Linked DNA regions of Caenorhabditis elegans. The protein of the gene in region 1 interacts with the protein of each later gene in a pairwise test. Each region holds a gene or a part of one and is shown in the gene's direction. Other genes may lie near its edges.

The links.
Region 2: the proteins of memi-2 (region 1) and ztf-23 interact in a two-hybrid assay, tested with the Caenorhabditis elegans proteins (one large-scale study listed by BioGRID).
Region 3: the proteins of memi-2 (region 1) and ZK131.11 interact in a two-hybrid assay, tested with the Caenorhabditis elegans proteins (one large-scale study listed by BioGRID).
Region 4: the proteins of memi-2 (region 1) and zip-2 interact in a two-hybrid assay, tested with the Caenorhabditis elegans proteins (one large-scale study listed by BioGRID).

What each region holds. Positions count from the first base shown.
Region 1 is NC_003282.8:13,398,518-13,402,226, reverse strand, and holds memi-2 (MEiosis-to-MItosis transition associated), read left to right. Parts: upstream 1-1,720; 5' UTR 1,721-1,721; coding exon 1,722-2,201; intron 2,202-2,250; coding exon 2,251-2,433; intron 2,434-2,476; coding exon 2,477-2,668; intron 2,669-2,718; coding exon 2,719-2,901; 3' UTR 2,902-3,159; downstream 3,160-3,709. Other genes in the region: cyp-31A5 (CYtochrome P450 family), read right to left, coding at 89-183, 235-331, 379-782, 829-921.
Region 2 is NC_003279.8:3,053,138-3,060,886, reverse strand, and holds the start of ztf-23 (C2H2-type domain-containing protein), read left to right. Parts: upstream 1-1,721; 5' UTR 1,722-1,815; coding exon 1,816-1,867; exon of another isoform or gene 1,868-1,913; coding exon 1,914-2,053; exon of another isoform or gene 2,054-2,117; coding exon 2,118-2,249; exon of another isoform or gene 2,250-2,312; coding exon 2,313-2,369; exon of another isoform or gene 2,370-2,423; coding exon 2,424-2,493; exon of another isoform or gene 2,494-3,193; intron 3,194-3,269; coding exon 3,270-3,409; intron 3,410-3,462; coding exon 3,463-3,549; intron 3,550-3,611; coding exon 3,612-3,710; intron 3,711-5,288; coding exon 5,289-5,573; intron 5,574-7,184; coding exon 7,185-7,268; intron 7,269-7,345; coding exon 7,346-7,418; intron 7,419-7,749. Other genes in the region: pign-1 (GPI ethanolamine phosphate transferase 1), read right to left, coding at 293-440, 930-1,229, 1,281-1,357, 1,414-1,573.
Region 3 is NC_003280.10:13,790,567-13,795,228, forward strand, and holds the start of ZK131.11 (TORC_N domain-containing protein), read left to right. Parts: upstream 1-1,662; 5' UTR 1,663-1,713; coding exon 1,714-1,772; intron 1,773-3,268; coding exon 3,269-3,355; intron 3,356-4,662.
Region 4 is NC_003281.10:832,490-836,348, forward strand, and holds zip-2 (Transcription factor zip-2), read left to right. Parts: upstream 1-1,598; 5' UTR 1,599-1,685; intron 1,686-1,815; 5' UTR 1,816-1,970; coding exon 1,971-1,979; intron 1,980-2,031; coding exon 2,032-2,347; intron 2,348-2,403; coding exon 2,404-2,724; intron 2,725-2,838; coding exon 2,839-3,119; 3' UTR 3,120-3,322; downstream 3,323-3,859. Other genes in the region: dos-3 (Delta and OSM-11-like), read right to left, coding at 3,326-3,737. UniProt on the Caenorhabditis elegans protein: Transcription factor that binds to the promoter and the enhancer regions of target genes. May act together with the bZIP transcription factor, cebp-2. Involved in responding to mitochondrial damage.

The sequences.
Region 1 (3,709 bases):
AGACAATTTTGAGTCTAATAAAGCAAAAAAAAATTCGACTACATCATCTTTAATGATAAATTTAAAATTTTAAAACTAAATACCGTACAAATTGTAAATAAATGAATTCCACATCAACGGATTATTTGTTCGCTTTGAAATCAGCTTATTAATTGTGTGCACCGCCCATACATACTCGTTATTCTGAAAAAAAAAACATTTAGAAATTTAAATAGATGGAAGAATTTCCCGAACCTCCGCGAGTTGAGCACCGATAGCTTTTCCCATGGAAGTTTCGCAGATGATGTCAAGAGTGCAAAGGGTGATGACGGAGAGAACATCAACTTCTTCACTGAAATAAAACGTTCGAAAGAGTTATGTAAGAATTAAAATTCTCACTCTGCTACACCGAGGCAACACAATTTCTGAATCAAAATCTTCGATTGCTCGTTAAAAATCGGCAAGAAATCCTTGAGAATATCATAATGGAAGGTTGGTGTCAATAGTTTTCGCTTTGGACGCCATTGTTCCTTTTGGCTCGTCAAAATACTGATTCCAAGCCATGGCTCAAGCAAAACGTATGCGAACCCTTTGTTCAGATGTTTCGTGGAAGAGAAAATAGGTTCAACAAGATCGGCAGAGTAGAGCATAAGACATGGGAATGGACCAATCCAGAGAAGACACATCCGTGGATCTGGATACAAATATCCCATTCCAATCACTTGATTCATGAATCCCTCTGGATCGGGCTTTGTGATGAGTCCGTGACCGACGATTGGGTATGATCGTGGTTGGTTGAGGTGCTGAAAGTTTATTCAATTTATCTTTAAATGAATTTTGCAATCAAACCTTCAAAACTTGACGCATTCTCAAGTGTTTGTAGATAAGCCAAGCAATCACCGTCGCCGAAGCGAGAAGTACAGCGGGGATGATAACCCCCATTGTAGAATCTTCTGAAATAATTTATTTGAGCGAAAAAAACGAGCAAAAAGCGTTGAAAACTCGAGGAAAAGCCTGAAAATCGCAACAAAACAAACGTTTTTTGATTGAAAATTCAAATTTCTCCCACGCTTTGTCGAGACCTATGTGAAAATTGTTATGCGCCTTTAAAGAGTACGGTAACCCAGAAAAGACGAATTTTTTTGAGAATTATTCGTTTCAGCTTTTTTTAAGACGAGCACAAAGCATCAAAAGCGTTTTAAAAATAAGAAAAACGTTTGTTAAATTTTTTCGATGCTGAAAATATTAAAAAATCGCAATAAAAAGAACGAATTATAAGTAAAAAGTCAAATTTAACTTGCGTCGTGGTGATAGCCATGTGAAAATCTTCAGGCGCCGCCTTTAAAGAGTACGGTAGGCTTGAGAAAGTTCTCGAACGAATTTTTGTTGTTTTCTGATATTTAAATCTTGATTTAATTATTAAAAAGTTCCAATCACTGTTAATTTTTCATTAAAAAAAGTGAATAAAACAAATCCAAAAGTATTTATTTTTGAATGAATATTGTAATTTTTATGAATGATCTCCCCGCGAAAAATCAGCGCAACAATTTCATTATTTTAGGCCCAACAAAATTTTTTGATCGTGTGAATTCTTCTTCTTTGCTGATGTATTAAGCTGATGCTCAGAGAGATTTAATGAATCTTTTTCATAGCTTTATCGGTAAATTATTCTTAATCTGCAAATCACTTGAGCACATTGTTTTCTTCTTTTCCATTAATTTTTTACACCAAAATTTTTCAGAATGTCAGCTCCATCTCGCACCGTTCTTCGCGAATTGACAGCGACCAGATACGTGGTCAACTACAACGAAGAAGATCACCTGGAAACCGCTCGAGCCGGTTGCTCTGCCCTCCCACCACAACCCAACATCAATCATGATGTAATTATCGAAGGGCATGGAGAAGACGTGGAGCTCGTCGACGATCAGAACTACCGTTCCCTGCATCGTATCGATGAGACTCCAAAGCTCGTCGACAAGAAGCCGAGCAAGACAGTCATCCGCGATGAAGCTGTCAAAGTGCTCAGAAGCATTCAAACAATGCCGATTGAAAGTCTTCGTCTCAAGCGCTACGACTTCTTCTCGCAAAGATGGTTCAACACGACCAGAGAATCGGAGAAAGCGCTTGTCGAGCACGTGCTCCTTCATCCCAATCAGCGACCACACTATTTCGCCGCTCAGTGCCGCATGCTGTTGGTCGAGGATATCTCCAGTTTGATTCTGGTTAATTTCTTGAGAATATTTTTCCTGAAAGAATTAAATTTAATCTCAGACTTCCTTCCTGGCCGAGCCGAAAGAGACGGGTCAAAATGTGGTTCGATTCGCGATCCAGGCAACGACTGAAATGCCATTCCATCTATTGTTTGCTATGCTCGAACAACTGGAGATGGAAAACGAAGGATTCCAGATGACAGACAGCTTTGTGGTGGCAACGTTGAACCGATCACAGGGCAGAGTACGAGAAACAGTTTTCTGTTTCATGCCAATAACTTTTTCAGACTACCACTCGTCACCTGCGAACCACAAACTGCCGGGAATACGGAAATCTCGAGCCAGGACTCGATTCACAAGGCCGACTGATGGCCTCGACTGCATCAATCACGTGTTCTATCCGAGGAAAGCGCCACGTGGAAACGAGGATCGTGTACAATAACAACTCGAACGCCAGGAATACTTCAGGGAGAAGTAGAGTGAGTTGAGCAGCAATAAAATCTCGATTTTCAATTTATGAAATTTTCAGTACATCGAATTGGAGCAAACAGTGAAGTGCAAGAACCGACGTGTGCTGATTGTCGAAGATCCAGTCGAAATCCACGAATTTGAGATCGAAAAGGACATGATCCCGCTGGGAAAGGGAATTGTGCCAGTCGAGGACCTGATCACGTTCCTCGAGACATTCAAACTGGATGAAGAGGACGAGTAACTCCAGACATATGTCCTATAATTTGTAATGTACATAATTCTGTATTATTGTATCAGTGGTTCTTGTTGAATATATCAACTAACTTTCCCCTTTATTTTATTTTCCTTTTTTGTTTTGGTCGTTTCCTGTATATAGATTCTCCGCTGCCCCAAACTATTTTGCTTATGTTTAACATGTATATTGCTTGAATTAACATTGCCAGAATATGAACTGGTTGATTTTGCAATCTTTTTAACGATGAGATGAATTATATATTACATTCAGTAGTTGTCTTTATAATATTTGGAATTTAAATTACTTTACTCCAAAAAACAACTTCTTTTTACTTTACTCCAAAAAACAACTTCTTCCGGTTACTCATATCCGTTTCTCCACACTCACCTTTGATCGTTTTCCAACAACTTTTCCTCCTCTCTAAATTTTGTTCGAGTTCTCACTCTCACCACGTGCGGGGCTCCAAATAACAGCTGCTGCCTCTGAAATGTCATCGCGAGGCTAAAGATTTCCATTTCTCACAAAATTTGCCGTTTCGGCATATAATCTGTGCTCTGTGTTGGCTGGCCGACGATGATTGAATTGGCTCATTGGCTCATTTATGCGTACTTGTGAGTTTTAAAAATGGTTTGCCGGTTTGCCAATTTGCCGGAAATTTGCCGGTTTTCCAATTTTTCGGAACTTTTCAATCCCGGCAATTTTCCGGAATTTTTCCGGTTTGCCAATTTGCCAAAGCTTTTCAATTCCTGCAGTTTGCCGGAATTTTGCCGTTTTGCCAATTTGCCAGAACTATTCAATTCCGGCAGTTTCCCGA
Region 2 (7,749 bases), on another chromosome or scaffold:
AAGAAATATGTTTAAAAATAGTGAACCTTTTCTTTTTGTTTTTAGGCAGTTTTTAGGCGGTTTTGGTCAAAAATTAACAAAATTCTGAAGATTTTAGCTTTTTTGCAAAATTTTCCGACAGATTTGCTCCGTTTTCAGCTGTTTTCAGGATTTGCTTACAAAACTTGGTTTCGTACAGTTTTTTCTTGATTAAAAATTTAATTTCGGCCGAAATTCGTGGTTTTTTTACAAATTTTCCGAAAGATTGCATATTTTTCGGCTCATCTCTCTCTTGATTCTTCACACAACAAACCTTTGATATTATCAATATATTGCCTCGACATTGGCTTATTCCCATGCCCATTCGTGTCGATTCCGAGTAAATGCAAGAAAAATATGCTTTTCTGTTCCCGCATTTTATCGTTCAATGCTTCATCGGTTTTCGCAGTTTCCAGGAAGTTCTGGAAGCTTTAACGTTTTATTAAGATAGTTGGTGTAGTCAAATTTTTTTCATTGTTTTATTAGACCCAAAATTGTCTGAAAACACCGAATTTCATAATGAAACTTCTTGAAAACTTCTAAAAAAAAAACAGTTATGACGGTTCAAAAAATCGGCTAAAATTAGTTAAAATTTGAAATTTGACCGACTTGTCACTTGTCATTTGACCGATCGACTTTAAAATACCTAAATGAAGTTGAAAACGCAAAATAATTACATTTTAAACTCAAAATTTTACAGTGATTTCAAAAAAATTAGTTTCCAGCCGCTTGACAAGTCGGTCAAATTTCAAATTTCAACTAATTTTAGCCGATTTTTTGAGCCGTCATAACTTTTTTTTTGAGAAGTTTTCAAGAAGTTTCATTATGAAACTCGGTCTTTTCAGACAATTTTGAGTCTTGTCAAGCGATAAAAAAATTCGACTACACCACGTTTAATTAAATTCCTATACCTCAAAATGCTCAAAAACCCATTTATCCAAATTAGAAGCATCTTTCGACGCGAAATCCTCCTCGTCTGCAGAATATGAGAATGATTCAGCGTTGGGAAGATCATCGAAAAGGTTCACAATATCCGGACTTCCCCACATCCAACTATACGACGATCTATTGAATACACTATCGAATTGAACTGGATTCTTTTTCCATCCTTTTGCAACTGCACTTATATCTTCAGTAATTCCAGCGAATATTGCCACGTGGCCCGGCCGGGATTCCGTTGGGATATGAGAACGGGATAGTCCATAGATTCCCTGAATAATAAATTAATAAATTAAATGTTTTATTATCGATTTTCCAATAACCTTTCTCTCATTCATAATTGAATGTAAATATGGAGATTTGTCGGGATATTTATTAAATGTGTCATATCGTAAGCCGTCTGTAATTCGATTTTATTGAAAAATAACCATAAAACCTTGAATGTAATCGAAAAACCTGCTGAAATTATAAAAATCCGTTTTGCAGGAGCCTCCTGACTATTTATAAATTGTGGAGGAATCCCATGAACCAGGGGGCTTGTGTAGTAGACATCGAAAATTGAATAAATAAGGACGAGGTGCACAGTGATGCTGGCGATTAGAAACTTCCACGACATTAGGGGATATTTATCCCCGTATTAATATAAATTATTTCTTCTTCTTCTCAAATGTTTAAAGTGGGGAAAGAGCAAGTGTAAAGTACACGTTGTTGCTCGATTGCTCTGCGCCGGCCCGGGGACGAGGGGACGAGGTGTCGGATTCTAGGCCATTTATATTTTTATTTAATTCTCGCTGATTAATACTAACGTTTACTATTTAAAAAATCAATTTTTCTCGAATTTTTCGCTTGAATAATCAAATGATAGGATATCCAATCGTATTCCGATGCTGTGAATGCACTGTCGAAGAGCGTAAGTGCCAGAAATATCGATTTTTACACAATTTTTTCTTTTTTAGAAACTATGGAGCACTTGGAAAGTCACATTTGGAGCCGGCATTTGCAAGCTTTTCCGTTTAAATGTGCATATTGTGATTTTCCGGCACTCAGTGCGATTAGTTTAATGGATCATTTCGCTCAGAATCATTCGGATGTGGCTGTAAGTTTAAAAATAACTTAAAACTGGAGTTTTCCACGAAATTTAATTTTTTTTTTGCTTTCAGATCGTAGAATTCAAGCGAAACCTGGAGGATGAGAAGCGTTTCCGGAAAATGGTTGCCGATTCGATTGCAATTGAAATCGATGAAACTTCGCAACAAGATTCGAGCACACAGATGACAGTTCTACAGCCGATGGTTCGAAAATTTGCAGAATTTGAATTGATTTCCGAATAAAATCGATTTTTTTTAAATTTTCAGATGCAGCAAGGCACCGCACAAATGATATTATTACCGCCGGAGGGTAGCCAATATGATGTTAGTTTCAAAAAAATAAATTTAAACTTTTTTTTTTATTTTCTAGTTTTTCAGGAAATTGTGGATCACCGAGGGCCTGATGAAGACGATTTTGGAGTTCTGGATGATGATGAGAATATAGAAGGTTCATGGAAAATCGATAAATTCAGAAAATACAGGAAAAAATATAGGAAAAATCAAAAATTTGCTCGAAAAATCAATTTTTAAAATGTCATTTTCAGCTGGAACCAATGATTTTTGTATGAAAATTGCTTCCAAAAATACTTCCAAAAATATTTTTCACTTTCTTAACCAAAAAACCCACAGAAACCGGAAAAATTGAAAAAAAAAATCTCCAAAAATACTGCTTGAACAGTTTTTAAATTTTTTTAAACAAAAAAAACCACAGAAAACAGAAAATTGAACAAAAAAAAATCAAAAGAAAACTTTTCCAAAAAATTTTTAAAATATTTTTTTTTAACGGTTAACGGTTTTTAAATTTTTTTAACAAAAAAAACGCAGAAACCGACAAAAAATTTTTTAAAAAAACCAAAAAAAATTTTTTTTTGTAATTTTGAAAAACAACCTTTGGAAATTCTTTTCAAATAATATTTTAAAAATCAAAAAAAAACCAAAGAAATAGAAAAAAATTTGAAAAAAGAGCTTTCAAAAATCTTTTTTAAAATATTTTCTTAAACTAAAAAAACGTTTAAGAACCGAAAACCAATAGCAACTTCAAAAATTAACTACAATAAATCAACTTTTAAAATAAAAATGTAAAAAATGTAAAAATAAACAAAAAAAACATTTTTTTTTAACTTTTTTGAGCCAAAAAAAAAATTTTTTAACTGACAAAAAATTTACTTTCAAATAATTTTAAAAACCAATTTTTATCCAAAAATTCACCAGAACAAATTGCAGAACTAATTGACGACGATGATGATGACGATTATATTGATGAGCTCGGAAATCCGGTATTTATTGGAGCTCACGACGATTCTGATTACATTTTGGAAGATGATCTATCACCACAAGGACCAATTCGAAGTAGTAATAACTATGTACGACTGAATTTCAAATTTATTTTAAATATCAAAATTTTCCTTTTTTCCAGCATTTAAAATATATAAGAACTCGAAGAATGGACAAACTCATTGATAATGTGGTGGTCAACGCGACGCAACGGGATTCTCCGGAACAAGTAAAAATTTTTTAAATTTAAATATTTTGAAATTTCAAATTTAAAAAAATCCTAATTTTCAGGAGGATTGTTCCACGAGCGGAGTCGCATTTGCAGATGGTCAGACGAATAGTGGAAAAATGGGAAGATTCAGTTGTGATCGGTGTTCTAGGACATTTAAAGTATGGGGAAAATTTAGAAGAAAAAAACAATTTTTTTGGAAATTTCATAAAAACAGTGATTAAGTGTGATTTTTTTCGAATTTTTTTTTGAATATTACAGCTTTTCGAATTTTCAGAAAATTGGAAGATTTGTTGAAAATTACAAAAATATCACATTTCTGAATATTTCTAAAAGCCTAAGTGTTATGTATAATTTTCACAATTTTCAAAAATTGAAAATTCATGGTGCCGAAAAATTCTAATATTTTAAAAATTTGCAGATTTTCAAATCTTCAGAAAACTACAAAAATTTAATATTTCTAAAAATTCTGAAAGCCGAAAAATTCCAAAAATGTTGAATTTTTAATATTTTCGAATTTTTAAAAATATTCAAAAATTAAATGTTTCCGAAAAATTCTAAAAGCCGAAAAATTTTTCGAAAATTTTCTGAAAATTCAGGAAGCCAAAAAAGTCTAACATTTTCAAAGATTTCAGTTTACCTAATTTTTAGAAAATTGAAAATTACAAAAAATATCGCATTTCTGAATATTTCTAAAAGCCTAAGAATTTTCAAAATTTTCAGAATATTGAAAATTCGAAAACCGAAATATTCTAACATTTTCGAAATTTAAGCTTTAAAAATCTTCAGAAAACTACAAAAATTTTGAAAATTCCAAAAATGTAATATTTCTAAAAATTCTGAAAGCCGAAAAATTCCAAAAATGTTGAATTTTCAATATTTTCGAATTTTCAGTCAGTATAAATTTTTGAAATTGTTTAAAAATTTAATATTTCCGAAAATATTCAAATTTTCAGAAAATTAAAAAAAAATCTTTTTTTTTGTTGAAAATTCGGAAAATGTTCAGTTTACCAAATTTTTAAAAAAATTGGAAATGTTGAATTTTTAAACATTCCAAAAATTTAATATTTCTGAAAAATCTGAAATCCGAAAAATTCCAAAAATTTTGAATTTTTCCGCTTTTCGAATTTGAATTTTCAAAGAATTAAAAATGTTTGTAATTTTCTGAATTTTCGAAAAGCGAAAAAATCCAATAAGTTTGAATTATTGAATATTGCAAAAAATAATAAAAATAAAAATTTGCAAATTTTCTGAAAATTACAAAAAAATCTGTTTTTTGTTGAAAATTCGAAAAAAATCTAAAATTATTGGATTTTTTCCAGTTTTCAATTTTCAGAAAATTACAAAAAATTCAAGAAATCAAAAATTCTAATAAATTTGCATTTTTAAATATTACAAAAATTTAATATTTCCGAAAATTCTAAAAACCGAAAAATTCGAAAATGTCAGAAATAAGGACATTAATTTGAGTTTTCTAAAGCCAAAAAAAATTGTTAAACTGCAAAATTGAGGTTTTCTTTTCAAAAAAATGTTGCAAAACATTTATTTTTTATTTTGAAAATTTGAAAAGCCGAAAAATATCAAAAATTTTGAATTTTCAGCTTTTCAAATTTTTTAGAAAATTACAAAAATTTAAAATATTTTAATTTTTGAATCTTCCGAATATTCAATATTAAAAAAATCCGAAAAACCTGCAAAATCGAAATTTCTTTTCAAAAACAAAACAAATAATGTTTCAGTACCAATCCAAACTGGATGAACATCGTCGAACACATCTCGGAGTAAAACCATTTCAATGTCACTACTGTACCCGCCAATTCTCTCAACGTGGAGCTCTTAAAACACACATGAGATTACATACAGGAGAACGTCCATTTGTATGTCAATGGGAATGTGGAAAACAATTTGCTTCTTCATCTGCAAAAAGTCATCATGAAAAGACACATAGTGGAGAGCGACCGTATATTTGTAATGTTTGTGGAAAAAGTTTCACGAAGAATTCACATGTTATTCGGCATCTTAAGGTTGGGATTTTGTAGTACTCGTGGACAAGAAATTGAAACAAAATATCGAAAATAAAATTTCCAGATTTTTTTTTTGAAATCTAATAATCGGAAAAAATTACAGAACAGGAAGAGATTCGATTTTGATAAATTCCCAACAAAAAAATCTGAAAACGAAATTTTTTTTTGAAAATTAATTTTTTTAAATTGTAACATTACAGAATCCTCTTTTTTCCTCTTTTTTCCATAAGATTTATCAAAAAATACTGGTTTTTTTTTTAAAAAAAAACGTCGAAAAATAACAATTTTCGATTTTTTAAACGTTTTTTTTTTGCGAAAAAATGACTGTAAATTTAAATTTTGATGGAAAAAATGGAAAAAAATATAGAGAAAATAAAGAAATTGTCGATTTTTATGAGAAAATGTATAGAAATTACTGAAAAATTGAATATTTCCGGCAAAAAAAAAACAGAAAAACGAAAATTTTTGATATTCGCTTTTTTTTTGAAAATCAAAATATTTATGGAGAAAAGGAGGATTTTTTGGAAAAAAAATGGAAAAATAAAAATTTTCGATTTTTTAACGTTTTTATTTCTGAGAAACAAATGACTGAAATTTTGAATTTTGATCGAATATAGAAAAAAAAAACTAACATTGTAAGAGAACATACGGCGATATATAGATTTTCAAAAAAAAGACGATTTTTATAAGAAAAAGTATAGAAATTACTGAAAAATTGAATTTTTCCGGAATTTTTTTTCGCTTTTTTTTTGAAAATCGAAAAATTTATAGAAAAAAAAGAGGTTTATCCAAAATTTGAAAATTTGAATTCTTTACAATTTTTTTGTCGAAAATCGAAAAGCCGACCCTATTTATGCTCCTGCTGAATATCAATGTGAAAAAATTCAAAAAAATTTCCCTGATTTTATATTAATTTTTTGAAATCCGAAAGTCCTAATTTTAAATTAAAACGATAAATTTTGCCGCCAGAGACTAAGCCACGCCCATGATAACCGTGCCGCAGGTGTGGATTTACAAGATAATATTTTTAATCTATTTTTATTTAATTTTCACACCAATTTTCCCGCTTTTTCGTTGTTCACATTGAAATGCTGTGACTTTCTTTAATTGATGGCTTTTTATTAATGAAAACAACTAAAATTACATGAAATTTTATATTTTAGCAGAAGTTCGGAATTTCATTTGTTTTAATTAATAAAAAGCCATAAATTATGGGAAATCACAAGAATTTCAATCTAAAACTACGAAAAATCGGGACAACTGGTATGAAAATTAGAAAAAATGGATGAAAAATATTAATCTCTCGTAAATCCACACCTGCGGCACGGTTATCATGGGCGTGGCTTAGTCTCTGGCGGCAAAATTTGTCGTTTGAATTTAAAATTAGGAGTTTCAGAATTTAAAAAATTAATATAAATCAGGGAATTTTTTTTTGAATTTTTTTGCATTGATATTCGGTATCAGGAGCATAAATAGGGTATGTAGAAAAATTTTGAAAAAAAATTCAAATTTTTGACAGAAATTGGCTTATTTTTTTCGAACTTTCAAAAAAATGTCTGAAAATCATATTTCAAAAATGATTTTAAATTTAAAAGATACCCTTTTTTCCAGAACATTCACAATCGAGAACTGGCTCAACAGGATGCAATGCTACGTGGCGACGATGTCCAATCGACCGATGAATCTTTAAATATTGTAAATATTTTTAAATATAAGATTATTTTTATTTTTTCTGAAATTCTCAACAAAAAAAATCAGAATTTTATTTTCAGGGCTCCGCGCGAAGTCAGATGTCCGATATAGAGCCACGTGGCAAAGAGATTGGTGTAGTGCATGATATTGTTGGTAAGTTTTTGAAGGAATTGGGAATATTTTAGAAAAATTGAAAAAATTGAATTTGGAGTATTAGAAAAATTTCAATGTTTTTGAAATAATGATGGAAAAGTTTTTTAAAAAATTATTCGGGAAAAGTTGTGAAAAAAACCAAAAAATTTAAATATATTTATTTTTAGAAATATAATATATTATTTTTTTAGGATTAGGGATTTCATGTTAGTCATCCAATTTATAATTGACATTTAAAAACAAAATTTTTGGGGTAAATTGAAAAAAAAAATTGTGTTTTAAATTCGAAAATCGAGATCCCGTGAATCGACGCAAGAGCTACAGTAGTCAT
Region 3 (4,662 bases), on another chromosome or scaffold:
AAACAATTGAAACATTTATATCTCTTTAGTTTTGAAAATTATGAAAAACTTGTTAACTGGCAAATTGAAACCAATTTTCCAATTTTTTAGGCAATATTTTGCTAGTTGGCAATTTTTTGATAGCTCCCATGGTTACTGAGAAATAGGTGGTTCAAATTATGGATATCCCTGTACCCGTGAGATGTCGGCCGCAGCGTGGAAAACACGATTTGCAGCGGACACTTTACTGGCTTTTACAAAAACTCCGCTACCGCCCGCCACCGCCTGCTGATGCCCGCTACCGGCCTGCTACAGCACCGCTACCGCCCTGCTACAGCACCGCTACCGCCCGCTACCGCCCGCTACCGCCCGCTACCGCCCGCTACCGCCCGCTACCGCCCGCTACCGCCCGCTACCGCCCGCTACCGCCCGCTACCGCCCGCTACCGCCCGCTACCGCCCGCTACCGCCCGCTACCGCCCGCTACCGCCCGCTACCGCCCGCTACCGCCCGCTACCGCCCGCTACCTCCCGCTACCGCCCGTGAGGTGTCGGCTGCTTTATTAACTTTTTCATTTTCATATGCGTCTTGTTCTATCAAGCTTTGTCGCATAAATTCCGCTCAAATTTCCTGAGGGTACATCTTTTATCGCCGACCCGCACCACGACCGCCATGTGCCATTTGTCTCGATAGTTTTATGAGAAGAACAAGCACTTTCCATGTTGACATATGTCATTTTGCCACCACCACACACACACACATATTGATGATGAAGACGAACTATTTGTTCGTTTTCCGATATCATTTACTGCTTCCGCCGCCGTGTTCCTAGTTTTCGGGAATTTTTTACTAAATTTGACATACAAAACTGCTCCCTTTTTGAAAAACTCGGCCACACCATCACTATATAGTCTCAGCTCATCACAGATTGGCGAGATTCGAATTTCGCGCGCTTCTCACATTACCAGGGCTTTCGAGTGGGGTGGGTGATATTTGAAAGAGATGACCACCGCCACTATTATAGTTAGATTTTGAGATGAGGAGTACTAAAATGCATGCAATTTTGGACTCATATGTATTTTGTATTTGTGATTGAAAAAATTGTATATCTAAAAAATGACCCGAGTTATGATTCTTCCCGCAAGTTTACTTTTTTTTTGAAAAATTTATTTTTCCCTCACTTTCTTCGCCTTTTTCTCATTGTTAAGTCGATTTTTATTGTTTAAAATTTATATAAAAATATAGATAAACCAGTCGTTTGAATTTTCCGCCAAAATTGGTTTTATCAGAAAATTAAAATTCCCGCCAAAAATTTTTCTCAGAAAATTTAAACTCCAGCCGATATTTTTCTATATTTCTATTTAAAAAAAAGCCAGAAAAAATTAGCAAGCTTATTAGAATAATAGGATTTTTGAAATTTTCCTACCCCGACTCTATTTGAAATGGTGGCCGAGTTTTGGTTTTTTCGGCCACCACCCAAAAATTCTGGTATAGTACTACTACTACTACATAATATTGTGACCTCTTTCAGCTTCTTCATACATACACTTTCTCTCGCCCCATTCTTCTTATTCTCATATATTTACGTTCCATTCTATTCATTCACTCTCTCGTTTTACCCTATTCACCTTTTCTCCCAATACGCTTCGTTTTTTTTAAAATTTTCTGCAATGATGATTTTCAGAATTATTTGAACTATTGACGTCTACAAACACACGCCTGGGACTCACACAAAATGCCTGACGCCTATATGATGGGCTCGACGGCAACGCTCAATGCTCGTCGGCAGTACAGGTGAGAATTGGGCAAAATTTAAATATTTTTAAAAATTTATAAAAATTAGCTCAATTTTACCGGCTGATATCTCGGTTGTTCCAAATTTTCACAAAAAATTGTCAACTAAAAATGTTGCCCAAAAATTTCTGAAAAATACGTCAGTTGGCAGCTTTTTAATATTCCTAACCATTTTGGAAATTTGCTGGTTTGAAATTGGGTAGTTTTTTTTCAGGTAGAAAATATGTTCGATTAGCCTAACTTTGCCGGTTCATATCTCGGTTGGTTTTGGTTTTATCAAAAAATTGTCAACTAAGAAAAGATTTATTTAACAATTGTCTATATTTTTGTAATTAAAAGTTTATTGATATTTTCAAAATGAGCTGAGATATTAGTAGTATAAGTAGTAATGGTGCTCAAATCGGGCAAAATCAACAATATTTCGAAAAATCGCACAATTTTTAAATTGAAAAAGATATTATATAGAACTATTACTTGTTTAATGACAATAATATTCTAACTTTAAAATTTTTTGTTACATGCCTACGTGCCTACCTCATGCCTGCCTTTCAGTTGAAGTAATTTTTTGAATGTTCAACACTGAAACAGTGAGAAAAAAGGGACCAGGAAGTAGGGACGAGTGTAGGCCTGCCTATGAGGTATATACTGCCTGTTCATGCCTGCCTGCCTACCACCTAGTTTCTGAACATTCGTAAACTTTCCAATTAAATGTTTTGTTTAAATACCTGTTCAACTAACACTAAATATAATCAGGAATGATTTGTAAGTAGGCAAGAGTGTAGGCAAGGTGTAGGTACAAGCCGCCTTGTAGGTAGGCGTATGTCGCAGGCCTACCTATGCCTTCCTACCTACCGCCTAGTTTTTGCACATTTCTCAACTTTCCAATTAAATATTATTTTTCAAATATCTGTTCAACTAACACTGAATATAATCAGGAATATGTGTAGGCGCAGGCCGCCTTGTAGGTAGGCGTAGGTCACCTTGTAGGCAGGTAGGTAGACAATTTGTAGACATATACCTTCTTATAGACATACAGTTGGAGGCAAACTGCCAATTCAGGTTCTCTCCCGATTTCTCCCAATTTCCATTTAGCCACCCAAATGGCATGACAGTTCTCGAAACTAATTTTCTTTTTTGTTATTATATAAAATGCCTATAATTCTTTCATTTCTCGACGTGAAATCCAACGTTTCAAGTTTTCTTAAAACTGATTTTTTTAAAAATATTTTTTGTTGGAAAAATCAAAATAATAATATTCTAACGTATTTTCCTCATTTCCAACTCTGATACTTTCCGACAAAAACAGTTTTCCGAATCCACGTTGGCATGTTTGGAGTATTTCGCAATCCAATATGTTTTATGAAGGCAAAAGGGTTAGTTTTTTAGGGTTGCGGCATGGGGAAATTTGCAGAAAAACATGTAAAATGTACTATTTTGAAGCCAAAGAAAACATCTTAAAAGTTGAAAAATAGTTCCAAAAAATTTTAAACTTTCAGATCGGTTGCATTTGGCACGTGGAAAGTGGGCGGAGCCAGGAATATGACGGAGCGAAGGTCCGAGGAGCCACTTTCAAGACTGAAATGGTTGGTTTTTGACTTTTTTTTCTTAAATTTTATCGTTTGTATGCTAAAAATGTACTGAGAATTGAAAAATAGGATATCGATTATTTGAAACAAATTTTTTAATTCAAAAAAAAAAAATTCCGAATCGATTTTGATTTATTTCAAAATATTTTAAAATTGTGTTGGAAATTCAAAAACAAGTGGTGGTGCCAGGCTGCCCCCCATTACGGCTTGATCTACAAAAATGCGGGAATTTTTCGCCCAAAAAATGTGACGTCAGCACATTCTTAACCATGCAAAATCAGTTGAGAACTCTTCGCGTCTCTTCTCCCGCTTTTTTTGTAGAAATATGTAGATCAAACCGAAATGAGACACTCGGACACCACGTGAAAAAGTTTAATGTATTTAAAAATTAAAAAAAAAATTCTGTGAAAATTGAAAAACCGGAAAAATTTTTGAAAATAAAAAAAAAAAATTAAAAAAAAATTCCAAAAAAATAAATAATTCCAGAGTATTGTTTTAAAAATTCGTTTAAAAAATCCTAAAAATTTAGAAAGTAATGAAGTTTGAAAAAATGGAATTTTTTGAAATTTCGGTAATTTAAAAATAAATAAGTGTGAAAAAAAATCAATTTTTATAAAATTAAATTTTTTGGCAGTTTCAGCAATTTTTTTGAATGTTCTAAAACATATAAAAATCCTGAAATTGGTGGCCGAATTTTCTCCATCATCGGCCACTCTAAAAAGTTTCAAAAGTTTCGAATTCCCCCCCCCCCCCCCCCACTTCGGAACACGAAGCGCATTTTAATGGTGGCAAATAGGATTAGGTGGATAACAATGGGATTGCCCCCGGTTGCCTGTACAATCCTCTTTTTTTCACGGCAAAAGGTAATCCCAGTATCCCCCGATGACTGGTTTTCTCTGCGTCTCCCCCGTCCACCCTCACACTATCGGGGTCCATCCCGTACTAATTGGCCATTTCCATGCCTATTCTTCTGCTGCTGCTGCTGCAACCTGAATCTACAATTGTGTTTCATTTTTCCAGTAGTCGTACTATGTTATGTGTTCATTTCTTTATATATATATATATATATATATATTGTCTTCTCTGCCCTCTTCGTCTGAAATGAGGTGGAACCGCTCTCAAATAAAGAAGACGGTGATTGAGTGGTGGAATTGACGTGATGAATAAGGAATTTTATGAGATTGGACCTAATTTTGTATGGAATAGGTTAAAGGGACATTAGGGGTTTTGATCTACTTGGGTTGGGGGAAAAAGAGCAATATCCTGTGAACGTCCAGTCCTGCCGGGCTTCGGTTTTTTTTATA
Region 4 (3,859 bases), on another chromosome or scaffold:
AGCTCAAAATTTCCTTTGATCTCCTGAACTTTGAAGCTGAAGCCACAGACACATTCTATTTTTGGTTTTCATTTTCATATTTTGCTCTGACTACAAATTTACGTCTTTGTTTTTCTGGTTTTTCCGGTTGCTTGGCAACAATTGCAATCGCTTATTTGTGTTCAATAACATAAAGTCATACAAACGGAAATCGAAGAAAAATTAATGAAGAAATGTAAAATTGAATATTTATTTTTTATAATTGAATCAACCAGGAGCTTTGTCGAATGTTGATTAATTTTGGCAAGCAGCCTTTTGGATAAATGATTCATTAACTTTAAAATATAAACGAAAAAAACTGTTCCTACGTTGAGAGTACTCCGCTTTGAAAATTATGAAACTACAGTAGTTTGTGACTAGGTACATCTTGTGACATACTGTTGCACAACATTGCATCAAGAGTGGACTATATAAACTGAACTCATTTGAAGAAAATCTTTCACATTTTGTATTCTCAGTCTTCAAATGGATCATATGATTTTCTAACAAGTCGCCCTTTCGACGTCCTGTCAATGCAATGTGTGATCAAAAAGGTTAGTCAGAAATACATTTTATTGAACAGGGTAAACATTGGAAAAAAGCGAAGATTACTCAGAAAACTCCGCTTATCAATCTTCAATTCTTATCAAATGACGTTATGAAGAATTGAAGCAAAAGTCCAATGTGCGATTGTTTAAATGGAATGTATATGTTCTATGAAGTTGTTATTATACCTATGTGTTAAATTCAAATATCGAAAATAAGCAAATGTTAATAAATTTGCTCATAGAACGCACAAGTAATGAGTTCACACCATATCTTGTCTGTATATAAAAATTCACAATGTATTTGAATAAATTATGTCGTACTTGATAAGTAGTGACGTCGGTTGTGATATAAATGCTTGATTAATTTTTGTTTGAATCACAATAATAGTTATTTTTCATACATTTCTCTGGGACGGTACGGGAACAATTTTTTACATGTACTTCAGGTATTTTTGAGAAGCTAACAATTTTCCATATCTAATTGGAAATCAATCATCATCAATTGTGACCTCCTGCAATCCAGTTTTTGTTCAATTAGAGATGCTTCATGAATTTTGTCAATGTGAATCAGAATACTTTCATACTATTTATACTTTTGTACCGATGATCACCATCTGAGTAACCCAACGATGGGTCAGAATGTGTGTTTCAGTTCCTTGATCTTTTGGTTGTGGTCTGAATCAACACATATTCCTCTCCACACTTCGTTCACATTGTTGGTCGGCTGTGTCGGTCGGCGCACGCTCACTGTCCTATTCAAACACACTCTGCCATCCCTAATCCTCTTGCGACACACAGTGTCTTGTCGACCCCCGTCGTCTGTCTCCGACTGGGTGACATCATGTGAAATCTTGCCAAATGTTGTGCAATAGTGGGTGGAGCGTCCGCTCTAACGTGGTTTTTGGGTTTTCTCTGCCTCATTCTTTCGTTTTGACAAATTGTCCATTGGTGACTTTTTGTTTTTTTTTTCTATTTTGCTTACGGGAATCGATTGTTTTGACATGCTTTTGCCTAAACGGTGGTATTTTTCAGCAAGGGACCAGTTTCAAGGTCCCACGACCGCCACCGTCCGCGGAGCAATCAAAACGTCCATCAGTTCGCTTTCATCGCCTTCTCCAGGTTTGTCATATACAAATAATAATTACCTTTTTAAATCATTATCTTATGACGATGACGTGGCGATCACCAATATAAAAAATCAATACAATTCAAATTAAAACGAATAAAATCGATAATTAATATATTTCAGAAAAGTTTTCCCCACCTAGCTAGAAGCTAGCTCGTTTGTCACTAGATTTCGACGGCCTTCCCGAAGATTTCTTTTCTCCACAATGTATCACGCAAAGACAACCACCGATTTTAACATGTTCAGTCAACAGTGTTGCTTCATGGACGAGGCCAAGTATGGAGCCGGTTAGTTTTTCATAATTGGACGAATATTTTATTTTTACAAATAATTGTTCAGCTATCGGCTCCACTAGCCGTCGGGTTTTCGGCTTGGCCTCCGTCGCCGCCACTTCCGCCGTTGGCCCACTCACCGCTCCAGGATGCAGTCCACGCCGACCACAACCATCGTCGGATCCTCAACTCTTGCAGAAACCTGCCGGATTGCCTGACGACTACAGTTCCTCAGCTTCACCAGATCAATTCTGCCGAGCAATCTCCACTACAGTTCACGCATCAACCAAATTGCGATTTAATTGTGGTTCTCGACGAGCAAACGACCTACACGACTACAATGACACGACGTTCCCTACCGAAAGCGGACCGTTATTTGAGCGGTTAGTTGGCGAATTTGAGCGAATTTGAATCATAATTTGAATAATAAAATTTTCAGAGCCCAACATGAGCACGCCACAAGCTTCCCACGGGAGCTTTGAATTTGATGTACCAGAGTACACATCCTTCGACTATGCATTCGATTTCCCACCGGTTCCAGAAGCCTTCCCACCAGCCGCCAATAGTTCCTCGGCTGCATCTCCAGATGCAGATTTTCTTGATCTGGATTCTCTCATGAGCTGTGATATCACATCTCTTGACGCCTACATTCATGATGATTCCATTGCCTCTCCTTCTAACGCTTCACACATTTCTCCTCCAGCGTCGGACATTGATCCAGTTGACGAGTTCTTTCCACAGCTTGTGCACAATAATAAAAGTAAGCTTAAGACAGTATCACACTAATTAGGAAAATCCACGTCATCGTCTGAACCCATTTATATATTCTTTAACTCAGCTCTTTGTTCAATTTAAACATTAAAAACCATTTCAGTTCAATCATCTTCCTCCTCAACAGTTGAAACGACAATAACACGTGGGCGCAAAACTTCATCGGTATCGTCCGATTCGTCATCGGACTACCGTCATAAACGGGATAAGAACAATCTAGCATCCCAAAAATCTCGTCAAAAGCGCCAAGCCAAAATTCGCGAATCAAAGGAGGAAAGAGAGCGTCTAGAGAAGCGAAAAGTTCAACTTCAAGCAATGGTTTTAACCTTGGAGACTCAAGTCGAGGACTACAAGCGATTGGTCATGATGTTTGTAAAGCGATAAATATATTAATCAGATCGCGTTTTTTTCTCATTTTATTGTGTGTGTACATAAATTCAAATTTAATTTTATTTTGTTCTCGTTTTTTTCCTCATTACTTATCCCTTATCCCTTATTCACCAACCTCATTTTATCTCATCTCATCTCAATAGCAAATAGTATTTATATTCCTTTTCATTAATCAAAATAAAGTAGAAAAATAGAAATAATTAATCATAATCATCAGGAATATTAAGGAAAGTTCCAATAGAGGGAAAGTGAATAGCACTAAACCCATCAGTACCTCCAACTCCAGCAGCTGGCACGGCCCAATGTGCACCATAAGCGATTTGGCCCTGGAGCCAATCCACGTTCACGGATTCCGGGTGATAATAGTATTTGTTAGCATGATCGCGATTATGTGGGTCATCTGGATTCGGCTCCCAGAGCCCTGGTTTAGTGAATGGTGATCTACTACGAGGGCGATGCAGGATTCCTCGAGAGTCGGTTAAAGAGTTGTATTGATCTAATGCATTGGAGAACACACTGTCCGAAAATACTGGAACTGCTGCACCACCTGTAGTTTTTTTCACGCGTGGAAGATTGGGAGCTGATTGATCGGCATCTTTTAGAACTTGATCTCTGAAAGAAGATTTGCGACTTGGTTAGAAATAAATATAACATTTTCATTATTTCTTAAAGCAATTTATAGAGTCTAACCTGTGAGTTTAAGAACCTAATCATATGAGTTTGTCTAAGAGACA